Linked DNA regions of Xenopus tropicalis. The protein of the gene in region 1 purifies or fractionates together with the protein of each later gene. This does not show direct contact. Links are inferred from orthologs where the notes say so. Each region holds a gene or a part of one and is shown in the gene's direction. Other genes may lie near its edges.

Region 1 (3,498 bases):
CATAAAATTATCATAAGAGTTCAGACAACACCAGACTACAGCCCCCAAGAGGCATTTACCAATGCAATCACAGACTTGATAAGTGAGCTGTCCCTTTTAGAGGAAAGATTTCGGGTATGTATAAAATCCATTTTTCCTGTTTATGCTTTCAAAAAACCCCAAATTTTTTCCCAAAATGTTTGAACAAAATGCTAAGCATTTAATTCTGTTACAAGATATATGCATTCAAGTATATAAAAAATGGGGGGAAAAAAAAACAGGTGTGAGTGCAGAGCACAGGAAGGCATAAAAGACTACTGCTTTTAATTTATTTAACAAACAACTTATAGAATATGTAAACCTTAAAAAATGAATGTAAATTGCTCTGGGTCCTTCTAAACACTTTTCCAATTTACAATATTATTTTCCTTTTCCAATTTATTAAAATAATATTGTCATGGGAAAACATGTTTGTTTGTTCTTTTTCTTTCAGAACACATCAGTAGAGCTTCTCCAGCAGAACCCTGCATTGAAATCCGTTTTTCAAAAACAGAAACAGAATTTATTTTTAATTTTGAAATTTCACATGGGGCTAGCCATATTCTGCATTTCCCAGAGTGACACAACCATGTGACCTGTGCTCTGATAAACTTCCGTCACACTTTACTGCTGAGCTGCAAGTTGGAGTGATATCACCCCCCTCCCAGCAGCCGATCAGCAGAACAATGGGAAGTTAGCAAGATAGCAGCTCCCAGTAGATATCAGAATAGCACTCAATAGTAAGAAATCAGAGTCCTGCTAGGAATCCTCCAGTTACATGGTAGTAGGAGAAACAATATACAGTATCTGAAAGCAGTTCTAAGGGCTGTGACACACAGGGAGATTAGTCCTGCCGGTGGGATGGCATTGCGGGGAGATTAGTCGCCCGTGACAACGGAGATTTGTTGCGGCGGGACTAATCTCCCCGTGTGTCACGGCCCGAACTGCTTTCAGATGTATTGTTTCTTCTACTCCCATGTAACACAGAGCTACTAGCAGCAGCAACTTCTTAATGGCTACTAGGCTCCAAAAAATACCCTGCCATAGGCAATACTGAGAATTGCCTCAGCTAAAACACACGAAGAGACAGTTATCAGTTAATGATCAGCTGCAACTAGTAGCTCCGTGTGTCTTCACCCAAATGTGTAGCGCTGGCTCCTTCTGGAAGCTCACACCCAGGCACAATGCATTGAAATGGCTGCCTACCCACCAATATTACAGCTAAAAAAATACTTTTGATGATTCAAGAATGGCAGAGTGAATTATTTGCTATGTAAACAGTGTAATTTAGCAATAAAAAGTAAACCATAAAAATCATGACAGAATCCCTTTAAGCTGTTTTTAAACTGCTATTATTCATTTTGCAACACATTTTCACTTACTAGTCAGTTTTCAGAAGAAAAACAGTGAACTCTTCTGATATTGCTCTGCTCAGGAAAGGGATAGGAATAGCTTTCTCACCCCTTTCCTAAACAGAGCAACATCAAAACAGTTTTCAGTTTCCTTCTGAAATTTTACACAACTGTAAAGTAATGTAAGATTAATGTAAATTGCAAAAGGGCTTAATAGACTGAATGCAACTGATTTTGATATCCTATTTATTTTGATTATACCCAAGTATACATAGGGGTCAGACTGCTTTCTGACCAGGCCCGGACTAGCAATCTGTAGATTCTGGCAAATGCCAGAGAGGCTGCTGTAAGATGCCATAGACAGTCACTATTTATTGGGCTGGTGGGGGCTGTTTAGGCATCTGTGTACTTGAAATGCCTGGGCCTATTTTAAATCCCAGATCATACCTGTTTTTGACTACATTTAAATTTCAAGTTAGGAGAATGCAGAACAGAAGGCCAACCTACTAAAACACTACAGCAGTAAAGACCCACTGCAACTGTCATAGGATATATATGTCTTTTTATCATGCTTAAAAGTGGATCCTAGAAAAAAATGTCCTCTCTAATAATGGTTAAAGGGGTTGGTCACCTTTAAATTAACTTTTAGAATCTTACAGAATGGTCAATTCTAAACACTTTTTCAATTGGACTTCATTATTCATTCTTTATAGTTTCTTAATTATGTGCTGCCTTCTTGACTATTTCTGGCTTTAAAATGGGGTCACTGACCCAGGCAGACAAGAAACTGTTGCTCTGTGAGGCTACAATTTTATTGTTATTATTACTTTTTATTACTTATCTTTCTATTCACGCCCTCCACTATTTATATTCCAGTCTCTTATTCAAACCACTCCCTGGTTGCTAAGGTAATTTGGACCATATCAACCAGAGAGCTGCTAATATTCCAAACTGGAGAGCTTCTGAACAAAGTGAAATCATTAAAAAAAAACAAATAGAGGAAAAAAAAGACCAATTGCAAATTGTCTTATAATAGTACTCTTTATATCATACTAAAAGTCAACTCAAAGGTGAACAACCCCTTTACGTGTCCGTCCACATCACTTCTTTATTATGTTTTTCTAACATAAATATTGGAAGGTGCTTTGTGGATTAGTTTAGCATGATTAAATTGAGCATATAGTATTCTCAAGGACCTTGGTACACCACACTTAATTTTGTGACAAATGGTCACTGAATATCAATATTCTTATGATTTCATATTAAGTCCCATAATGCTCACACTACCATACAAACTTATTTGCAATGAGGATATATTATTTAAACTACTGGTAAGCACTATATATAATAAAGAATTGTTGCTTCCTGATATATGAATGTAAACCTGAATTCACAAGTAATACTTATATGCTATTATATATAATATTTATATCTGTTTACAGGTGGCTATTAAAGACAAGCAAGAAGGAATTGAATGAGCCAAATCTATGGAAGGAAGAGCTATCCTTTTTGTTCTGACATTTTTGTAGGGAGCAGTCATGTAGAGCCAGCTGGTTATTGTATTTTTTTTGTATGTGTGGATAATATACACTTTTATAAATAAAATTGTTTGACTTATGTAATAACTTTTGTTTGCAGTTTCTTTCCAGAAAAGGTAGGAAAAATCTACTCTTCTCTAGAATCAAATATCCTACTAACCCTTCAAATTAGTAAATGCAGTGGAGACATAGTATTTGCCATTCATGTCCCTTTTTACTGTGTATAATGCAGAAACAGTATGATTAAAACTAGTGCCACCATAATTATTTTTGTTTGGATTGCACTTAATTAATCATTGATGTCCAGGAGCATTTAAAGTGGCCATACACTATACCTCAGCAAATGAGCAGATCGTTACGCCAATATGCACATCTAAGGTGGGCGATATCAGAGTAAACCAATCATTTGGCTTGAGGGGAATAGGATGGGAATAAGAACCTGCCAGATATCAGTCAGGTAGGCCCATCGGGGGTCCCCATACACAGGCAGATAGCTGCCAATCTGGGCTGTAATCTGCCGTGTAAGGCCATCTTTTCAACACTAGATCAATTAAACAGTTGTTACTTTGTATGCAGATGCTATATACACA
Region 2 (4,157 bases), on another chromosome or scaffold:
ATACCTTTAATAGTACTGCACTAGGCAAACCATAATGGAAAAGGACCTTGTAAATAAATAAACTTGGCTGTGGCAAGAGTTGTAGGTCCGTTGCAAGGTATGAAGGGGAAAAAAAATGGGAAAAAACAAAACTAAGTCCCAAAAAAGACCCCAACACCCCTCGACCCCTGTAGTTTAATAATCTCCTGATCAGAGATTGCAGGTTTGCTCCGGGTAGTAGGGGTCCATTAGGTACTCAATGTGCACGTTCTATTAACAGGAAGGCGAAGAATTGATCCATGCCAAGTGTTTCTATTGTGCATTTGTAAATAAATACAAGATATATATGTCTTTATCTATGACCCTGCAATGAGGTATCAGCCCCTACTTGAAACATAGATTTATTAACCTGCAAACCATACTGCATGGAGATTAACTTATTATTGGTAAAAAAAAAAAAAAAAAAGTGTTTACTAGTGTTATACTAGGCTTTCAAATGTTAGCCATAAACAGTCATCCAGTTAGGGGCTATAACCTCAGCCATTATGCTTGTCCGCCTCTACATCTCAGGGTCCTAATTAAATACATTTTAGAGGACTATACGCAGAGTTCAAAGGATGAAAAACGAAACACTTACGTAAGGTTTTATCAGCTTTTTCGGCCTATCAAACAATTAAGTAGATCAATCATATCTGACCCTTAAATGTACAAACCAAATACATCAAAATTCAGCAATAAATCACTTTTCAATCAGAATGTACGTAAAATACCACTAATAAAAAGCCATCATTCTCAGCATTTCAGGCATGATAATTATAATAGAACAAATCTGAAGAAACATGGAAATTCATGATATAACAGTTTTCGATGCATTAAACCATTCAATGTAAGAGTCACCTTGAAAGTACATACCCAATCAAAGTCGCATGGATTTCCGTCCTCACGCTGTGTTGGTAAGACGCTACACACCGGGGGTACCTTTCTAACCAGAAGAAAAGATACAGACAATAACGCAGAAAGAAGGTAATAGGGCTGCGATACCCAGCGCAAAAGCCCAGGAACTGCATATAAAAACGCGAGAAGGGGTGCAAGCACAGCCATTGCCACAAGTAACGCTGATTATCTGGGAAGGAGACTCATCCAATTACATTAACTATATCGAACTGCTAAAAAGAGTGAGGTCCAACCCAACAAAAAAACAGCCAATAAAGATCAGCACAGTAGGACGTAAATCCGGAAATAGACAACAGCTAATCCAGAAGGAGTAGTGTCAGGCGTTTAACCAATTGATAGCAAGCAAGCACAAACAGCACATGCGATAGGCTGGTATGTGGAAGTGACGTTCATATTCGTCTCTTCAATGACGCTTAAACGTTTAGGAGGGGCTTAACATAAGGTTTAGGTTCATTGGTTGAATAGTAGAAGGGCTGATGTGGTTGGTTTCAGTTGCAAAGTAATGGAGGGATTTTCTGGTCTATTTGCAGCTTCTGAGCCCTCATCTATCCCTTCTGCTCCAGGGCCCCCCTCTGTTGTTCCAACATGTACTGGTGCGTTTGTGTCAGGAAAGACACAGACTTCAACTCCAACAGTACCTGGTCCTCCGCTGCCGATCCCTCCGCCACTTTCTTCTAGTTCTTCTGGAGAGGATAGCTCCCGAAGACCTGCAGCGGGGCCCTTCTATATTCTTGGTGAACTTCCAGGTGAGTGTTAACAAGCATGGGTGCATAGGACCCGTACTAAACGTGTGCTAAATGTCTGCTATGTGGCAAAATCTGAACCGCTGGGCCTTGTCTTGCTGGAGCATCAGGAGAATGGTGTCTGTGGTCTTGCTGACATGTTGTTTTGCCTTCTGATGGCTAAATCCATGTCTGGGCTGGTAAACGCAACACGATTTTACTAAGAATCTTGAATCTTCTTTTTTTTTGTATGTCAGTCTATTTTAAGCATCTACAAGGGATTTACATTTAGTCATTAGAAGAGGAAACATTTTAATTATTAATAGCATTTTTGTAGATACCCTTTTCCAACATCGGACTGGGCTGTGCCAGACCTATTGGGTTGGCACTCAAACTGGCACCCCAGGGAGTGCCAATTGGGGGAGCGCCAGTGCATTGTTTCTGGGTTGGCTGGGTCCACTGGGTTTTTTACCTGCCATTTCATTTGGATCCTGCCCTTTTCTGCTAGCGTTATCCAATGTGATTCAAAAACCATCTCAAAGAGTTGCTTATTACTACACCTTTTGTGTGGTAAACTTATTATTATTTGTCTTTCTTTTTCTAAATATGTGTATTTGGTGTCAAATATGATGACTTGAACTTACATTAAGTGCTTAAATTAAAGTGGAAAAAAGTGGAGCCAGACCCAGCTTCCTTCCTCTATTTCAGGGGTAGGGAACCTATGGCTCGGGAGCCAGATGTGGCTCTTTTGATGGCTGCATCTGGCTCGCTGCCAAATCTTTAATAAAAAAAATAATGGGGGGCGTGGACTGTGCTCGGTGGATAGAAGACGTGTTCTAAACCTTAGAACACGTCTTCTATCCACCGAGCGCAGGCCACGCCCTCCTCTGCATCGGATCCGCATCAGGCATCCTTGGGACCCACCTTACCTTGACCCACAGGATCCGCGGCCAAACATATTGTATGGCTCTCACAGAATTACATTTTAAAATATGTGGTGTTTATGGCTCTCTCAGCCAAAAAGGTTCCCGACCCCTGCTCTATTTAGAGACCCGTGCCTGCCCCACAATGATGTCACAAAAGAGGCAGGCCTTCTGGGAGCGCGCCTATAAATAGAGAAGCCTGAAGAGAGCTGCTGGCAGTGTAAGGTTGCGAGCGGAAAAGCTCGGCCCGAACCCGCAGATTATGTGCCTAGGTCAGCTTGAACCCGGCTGACCCGCAGGTATTGGGCCGGCCCATACATCACTACTGCCCAGAATTATAAGCCACACCCACTGTTATAATACACTTTGACCGCAAACAAACTCTGGTTTTATTGCCTGCTAATACACAAAGCAATAACTAAATGCAGTGCTTCCTTCATGGGACCTGTTATCCAGAATGCTTGAGACCTGGTGTTGTCTGGATAAGGGATCTTTTTGTAATTTGGATCTCCATAACTTAAGTCTGCTAAAAATCCTTTAATATTGAATAAACCCAATAGGATTGTTTTGCCTCCAATAAGGATTAATTCTAACTTAGTTGGGATCAAGTACAAGTACTGTTTTATTATTACAGAGAAAAAGGAAATAATTTAAAAACAAATTGCTTATAATGGAGTCTATGGGAGATGGCCTTTATGTAATTGGAAATTTCCGGATAAGGAATCCCCTACCTGTATATAAGTGCAATACCAAGTTCATGTATAATGCCCCCCATAACACTTAAAAGAGAACTGTCATGAGCTATAAACCCTTCCATCTTTCTCACTGTTATAATTCAAATAAATACAAAATCACCTGTACCAAACTGCATTAATTTTTAATGTAAAACACTTATTTCTCATTTCTAATTGTTTTTCAAACCAGGCATTTTCAGAATCTGAAAGTAGGTGTGTCTCTTCTGTAGCACTTGTCATCCCAGCGTTCATTTAGGCCAGGGGTTGCCAATATGTCGATTGCGGTCCACCGGTCGATCCCCCCTGGATTTCTGGTGGACTGCGACAAAGCCAGAGATGCGGAAGTGCTGCGTGAATGCGTATGTACGCACTTACGCATTCCCCAGTCAAAAAGTCTGGCCACCCCTGATTTAGGCCTTTCCACATATCCTGAATCTTAGGTCCCCTCACCTTCATCATCTCTGTGCACCACAGTTAAGTTTCTGTTGTTTGCAGAGAGGTATGCATTGTAGTAGCTGTAGGCTGTAAATTATAAGGCCAAGAAAGGAATACTGTGACAGTAAACGCACAAGAATAAAGGAAGCGTTTTGTGAATCTTGAGCAGGGGTCCCCAACCTTTCTTAAGGTAGCTGCCGATATCGGTCCCTTGGAGCGATTCGGCAGCTAATCGGGCCATGTATGGGCACTCCCAATGGGCCTGCCCGGCCGATATCTGGCCTGAAATCGGGCAGATCTCGATCGGGCAGGTTAGAAAATCTAGTTGGATCGGGGACCGCATTGGCTTGTTGATGCGGTCCCCGGACAGACTTTTCTGCCATTTTAATTCGATCGTTTGGCCCCAGGGC
Region 3 (4,234 bases), on another chromosome or scaffold:
GCAATGCAATATGCCACTTTTGCAACCACAGAGAGCCAGCCTATAGTTTTATTCATTACCTTGAAATAAACTGATGTAGATATCAGTATTCTAAGACAATTTGCTATTAGCCTTTATTTTTTATGCTTTCTGAAATATTTAAATTTTTTGCTTTGCAACTCTCAGGCTCGGAATACTAACTGCTATCTGGTTGCTAGAGGTTATATACCCAAGCAACTAGGCAACAGATTAGAAGACAGAATAGATCAATAATAGTGGACCTAAAAAATTAATAAATTATAAAAATCATAATACAATGAATCTGTTGATCTGTTTTGAGATGCTTGGGGTCAAAAGCGCCATAAAGGCCAAATGATTTTTTGACTGGAAAGATGAAAAATATTGAATGCTAAATATAAAACAAATACACAAAAAATAAGTCTAATTAAAAGGTTACTTAATAGAGGTCCAGCTATAATTTACTAAATGTTAATAACACGAGGAACATCTGAACATCCCAAATAGCATTGGTGATTGGCTCAACGCACTGTAGACTGCAGCTGAGCATGCTAATGATCCAGTAAGAATACAGAGTATGTACTGACATTTACATGTGGGAATGTGGGAGTGAAGTTAACAGTTGCAGACGTGACACACGCAGCAGGTGCTAACACAGTATCACAGTAATACAGTAGCACAGAAACACAGTACGAGAGTAGCACAGTTTAACACAGACAGTAGTACAGTAACACAGTAGCACAGTAACACAGACAGTAGTACAGTATCACAGTATCACAGTAACACAGTAGCACAGTAGCACAGTAGCACAGTATCACAGTAGCACAGAAACACAGTAGCACAGTAGCACAGTATCATCACAGTAGCACAGTATCACAGTAACACAGTATCACAGTATCACAGTAACACAGTATCACAGTAACACAGTAACACAGTAACACAGTAGCACAGTAGCACAGTAGCACAGTAGCACAGTAACACAGTAACACAGTAGCACAGTAGCACAGTAACACAGTAACACAGTATCACAGTATCACAGTAACACAGTAACACAGTAACACAGTATCATCACAGTATCACAGTAACACAGTAACACAGTATCACAGTATCACAGTAACACAGTAACACAGTAACACAGTATCACAGTAACACAGTAGCACAGTAACACAGTAGCACAGTAACACAGTATCACAGTAACACAGTAACACAGTAACACAGTAACACAGTATCACAGTATCACAGTATCACAGTAACACAGTAAAACAGTATCACAGTAACACAGTAACACAGTAACACAGTATCACAGTAACACAGTAAAACAGTATCACAGTAACACAGTAGCAGAGTCAGGCTGATGAAAGCTTTCCTCCTTGGAAACGTACAGTCCCCACGTGCATTTGCTTCCTAGTTACGAGATTTCCCAGGTCTCATGCTCGCGAGAGTTTGAGGTGAATTTCCTTCCGTGCCTGAGTGGCTCATGCGAGTGGGACTCTCAGAGTCGGGGCCCGAGAAGGTGGGACCACGGTCGGTTCCCGAGTTCCGGGGCAAAGGGGTTTGCGACGGACGGAAAGCATGGAAGAGATAAGGGAGGGTACGAAACTGCTGAGCTCCAGTGATGTGGCCAGACTTCAGGAAGAGCATGGAAAGGTAAACAGAGGACGAGTGCCATGTTACACATGTGAATGTGGCAGAGCATAAGCCAGCCAGGGCAGAGCGCTTATGCACTAGGGTACAAGTGCGCCCAGCGGGCTTAGGGCAGCCTGTACCATGGTTAATATAGACAGTATGGGCTTGTTCCCCAGCAAAGAGAAGAGCACACAGTTGGAATAAACCACTTAGCAGCACATCACTCATTTGCTTTTTATCACTGTAACTTTTAGACTAGTCGGAGCCCATTGTTTTGTACAAAATGGACTATATTTGGGCATTATGACACAGGGCCATTATGACACAGGGCTGAGCATTGGCCATCAGGAAGGTAGCACAGGAAACTGAGAAGCAAAACAAATAAAGGAGGATGTATGTTATTGAGCAGGATGTACAGCTACTGAAAGTTATATAAGTTCCACTTGCACCAGAATATGCAGCTTAGTATTACCATTGGCGCTGCCATAAAATCTGAAAATGTTAAGGTGTAAATGCTTAATCCCATAGGGAACACAGTACTCTGTCATGTCTGTGCACATTTGACAGGTACCCTGTTTATAAGTTAGGGTCAGGCAGTGAGACGCTTCCAGCATCTTTTTAACAGGAGGGCTACAGTATGCACAGCCATGATCTAACTCAGCCGGTTGACTTTGCTAAGCATAATGTACCACTGTGACCTTTGAGTTGACTCAAATTCAGTGTTGTGCTCCATAAGAAATAAAAGTTACATTGGGCATAAAATTGACAACAATTCAGTAAATAAAGCTTGTTATCTTATAAAATTGCAGTTGTCTTAAAAGTGGCAGGACTTGCACCTTTTTTGAGCAGTAATGCTGTGCCAGCTATTAATGCAAACACCAGAGTACCTCTTGTAGCAGGAACAGTCTAAATGTCATAGGCAGTGCTATTGGTATGGCATGAGGCATGTAAATACCTTCTGTTCTCAGAAGGCCTCACACTTCATGTCTTGCAATGTAAAGGACAATTTGGCTCCTTTTACCTCTTCTCATCCTAACCAGGTCAGTTCCTCTGCTTAGCAGTTCACTTACTAGTATTACTGGAATCGTAGTTGAGAGCAAAGAGGCAATAATATAGTTATCTTGGACTCTACAGTGTTCATTGAAGCTGTGTAAGGGTGAAGACACATGGAGCTACTTAGTAGCAGCTACTTGTAATGGCTACTAAACTCCAGAAAATACCATACCATAGATAATACTGAGAATTGCCTCTTCTAACACACACGTAGAGACAATTATCAGTAAATGATCAGCACTGTCTATTTTTGTAGCTGCTACTAATAGCTCCTTGTATCTTCACCCGTATTGTTATCCCTTTAATAATCCATGCTGAAAGCTTGTACCTGAATCCTTTGCCTACAATTAGAAAACTGAAGAGCTAGCCTAGGAAGGATGTGAGCATAGTGTTCCTAATGGAAGGAGTGAGCAAGTTTTGCATATTTTTAACATATTGTAAATTTGGTGGGCTGTAAGCACAATGACTGAGCATATTTTGTACTGGTGCACATGCAGTGCAGCAAGACAAAAGGGTTAATTTGCAAAGAATTATAAGCTTATATAATGCTGAATATGACATTCTTCCAAGCTTCTGATTAGAAGCTAAGAGCTTTAAATCTCTAAGTACAAAGTATAGACTGAGGTATTTTAAGAAGGAGTTTTGGATGATTCCGATTCTCAAGTCTTCTTACCCTCTGGTAACACAAGAACACAGGCTGGGGTTTATTTACTGACATAGGGCAAGTGTGCATTGGTTCAGTAAAACGTTGCTGTTGATCAGTTCGCTCATTGAATCAGTTTACTGGATGTAGAATACCAAAGCCCTTATTTGGGTTCCTATGGGCTAACATATTGGTATAACTAGTAATTTTTGCTTGTATTGCATCATCTGTAGAGTTAGGGCTAATAATCCTATTACGATATTACAAAGCAGAATTAGAAATTTTCTGATTTCTCACTGTGTATCACACTGTGCACTGTTGCACAGACTTTTTTTGTTTTTAGTGCATTTGTCACTGTATGTGTATCGAATAAGTCATTTATGTAGTTATGACAAATGTCAAATGGCACATATATGTTTTTGCCTTTAAAATTTATGCCCACTTTTTCTGTACATGCATTTGTCTTCTGGTACAGTATTATGTGTCCCATTGCCCATCAATATAGTTATCTAATTTTGCCCTAAAAGCATGGACCCACAGGAGTGGAGACAAATGCATAATCTAGAAAGAAATCCAGAATACATGTAAAAAGTAATTTGTAGTGAGCCTTAAAGGAGGACTAAAGGAATATTGTCATGTTTTTTTTTTTTCTCCCAAAAAACACATCCATTAATAGAGCTTCTCCAGCAGAATCCTGCACAGAAATCCACATTTGTGCTGCACAGAAATGTAGGTCATAGTAGCTGATTAATAACCATTTCTCAATGCAGAACACATTGGTTTCTATAGTGACATTTATTGTGAATATAATTAATTACAAATATGCTTTATATTAACAAACTAGAATTCACAATATACTGTGCATTGTGAATCAGTCCCTAAGCAAAAGGTGACTGACAGCAGCCCTGAGCATGT

What was found. The genes of interacting proteins can lie anywhere in the genome.
Region 2: the proteins of polr2j (region 1) and med19 purify together in Homo sapiens (affinity purification with mass spectrometry; 3 studies listed by BioGRID and IntAct, with this or other methods). This does not show direct contact. The link is inferred for Xenopus tropicalis from reciprocal best matches to the Homo sapiens genes POLR2J and MED19.
Region 3: the proteins of polr2j (region 1) and uri1 purify together in Homo sapiens (affinity purification with mass spectrometry; 4 studies listed by BioGRID and IntAct, with this or other methods). This does not show direct contact. The link is inferred for Xenopus tropicalis from reciprocal best matches to the Homo sapiens genes POLR2J and URI1.

What each region holds. Positions count from the first base shown.
Region 1 is NC_030678.2:94,648,878-94,652,375, reverse strand, and holds the end of polr2j (DNA-directed RNA polymerase II subunit RPB11-a), read left to right. Parts: coding exon 1-114; intron 115-2,812; coding exon 2,813-2,848; 3' UTR 2,849-2,992; downstream 2,993-3,498. UniProt on the Homo sapiens protein: Core component of RNA polymerase II (Pol II), a DNA-dependent RNA polymerase which synthesizes mRNA precursors and many functional non-coding RNAs using the four ribonucleoside triphosphates as substrates.
Region 2 is NC_030683.2:55,852,966-55,857,122, forward strand, and holds the start of med19 (mediator of RNA polymerase II transcription subunit 19), read left to right. Parts: upstream 1-1,348; 5' UTR 1,349-1,435; coding exon 1,436-1,679; intron 1,680-4,157. Other genes in the region: tmx2 (thioredoxin-related transmembrane protein 2 precursor), read right to left, coding at 892-1,080. UniProt on the Homo sapiens protein: Component of the Mediator complex, a coactivator involved in the regulated transcription of nearly all RNA polymerase II-dependent genes.
Region 3 is NC_030680.2:71,279,333-71,283,566, reverse strand, and holds the start of uri1 (unconventional prefoldin RPB5 interactor 1), read left to right. Parts: upstream 1-1,425; 5' UTR 1,426-1,569; coding exon 1,570-1,644; intron 1,645-4,234. UniProt on the Homo sapiens protein: Involved in gene transcription regulation. Acts as a transcriptional repressor in concert with the corepressor UXT to regulate androgen receptor (AR) transcription.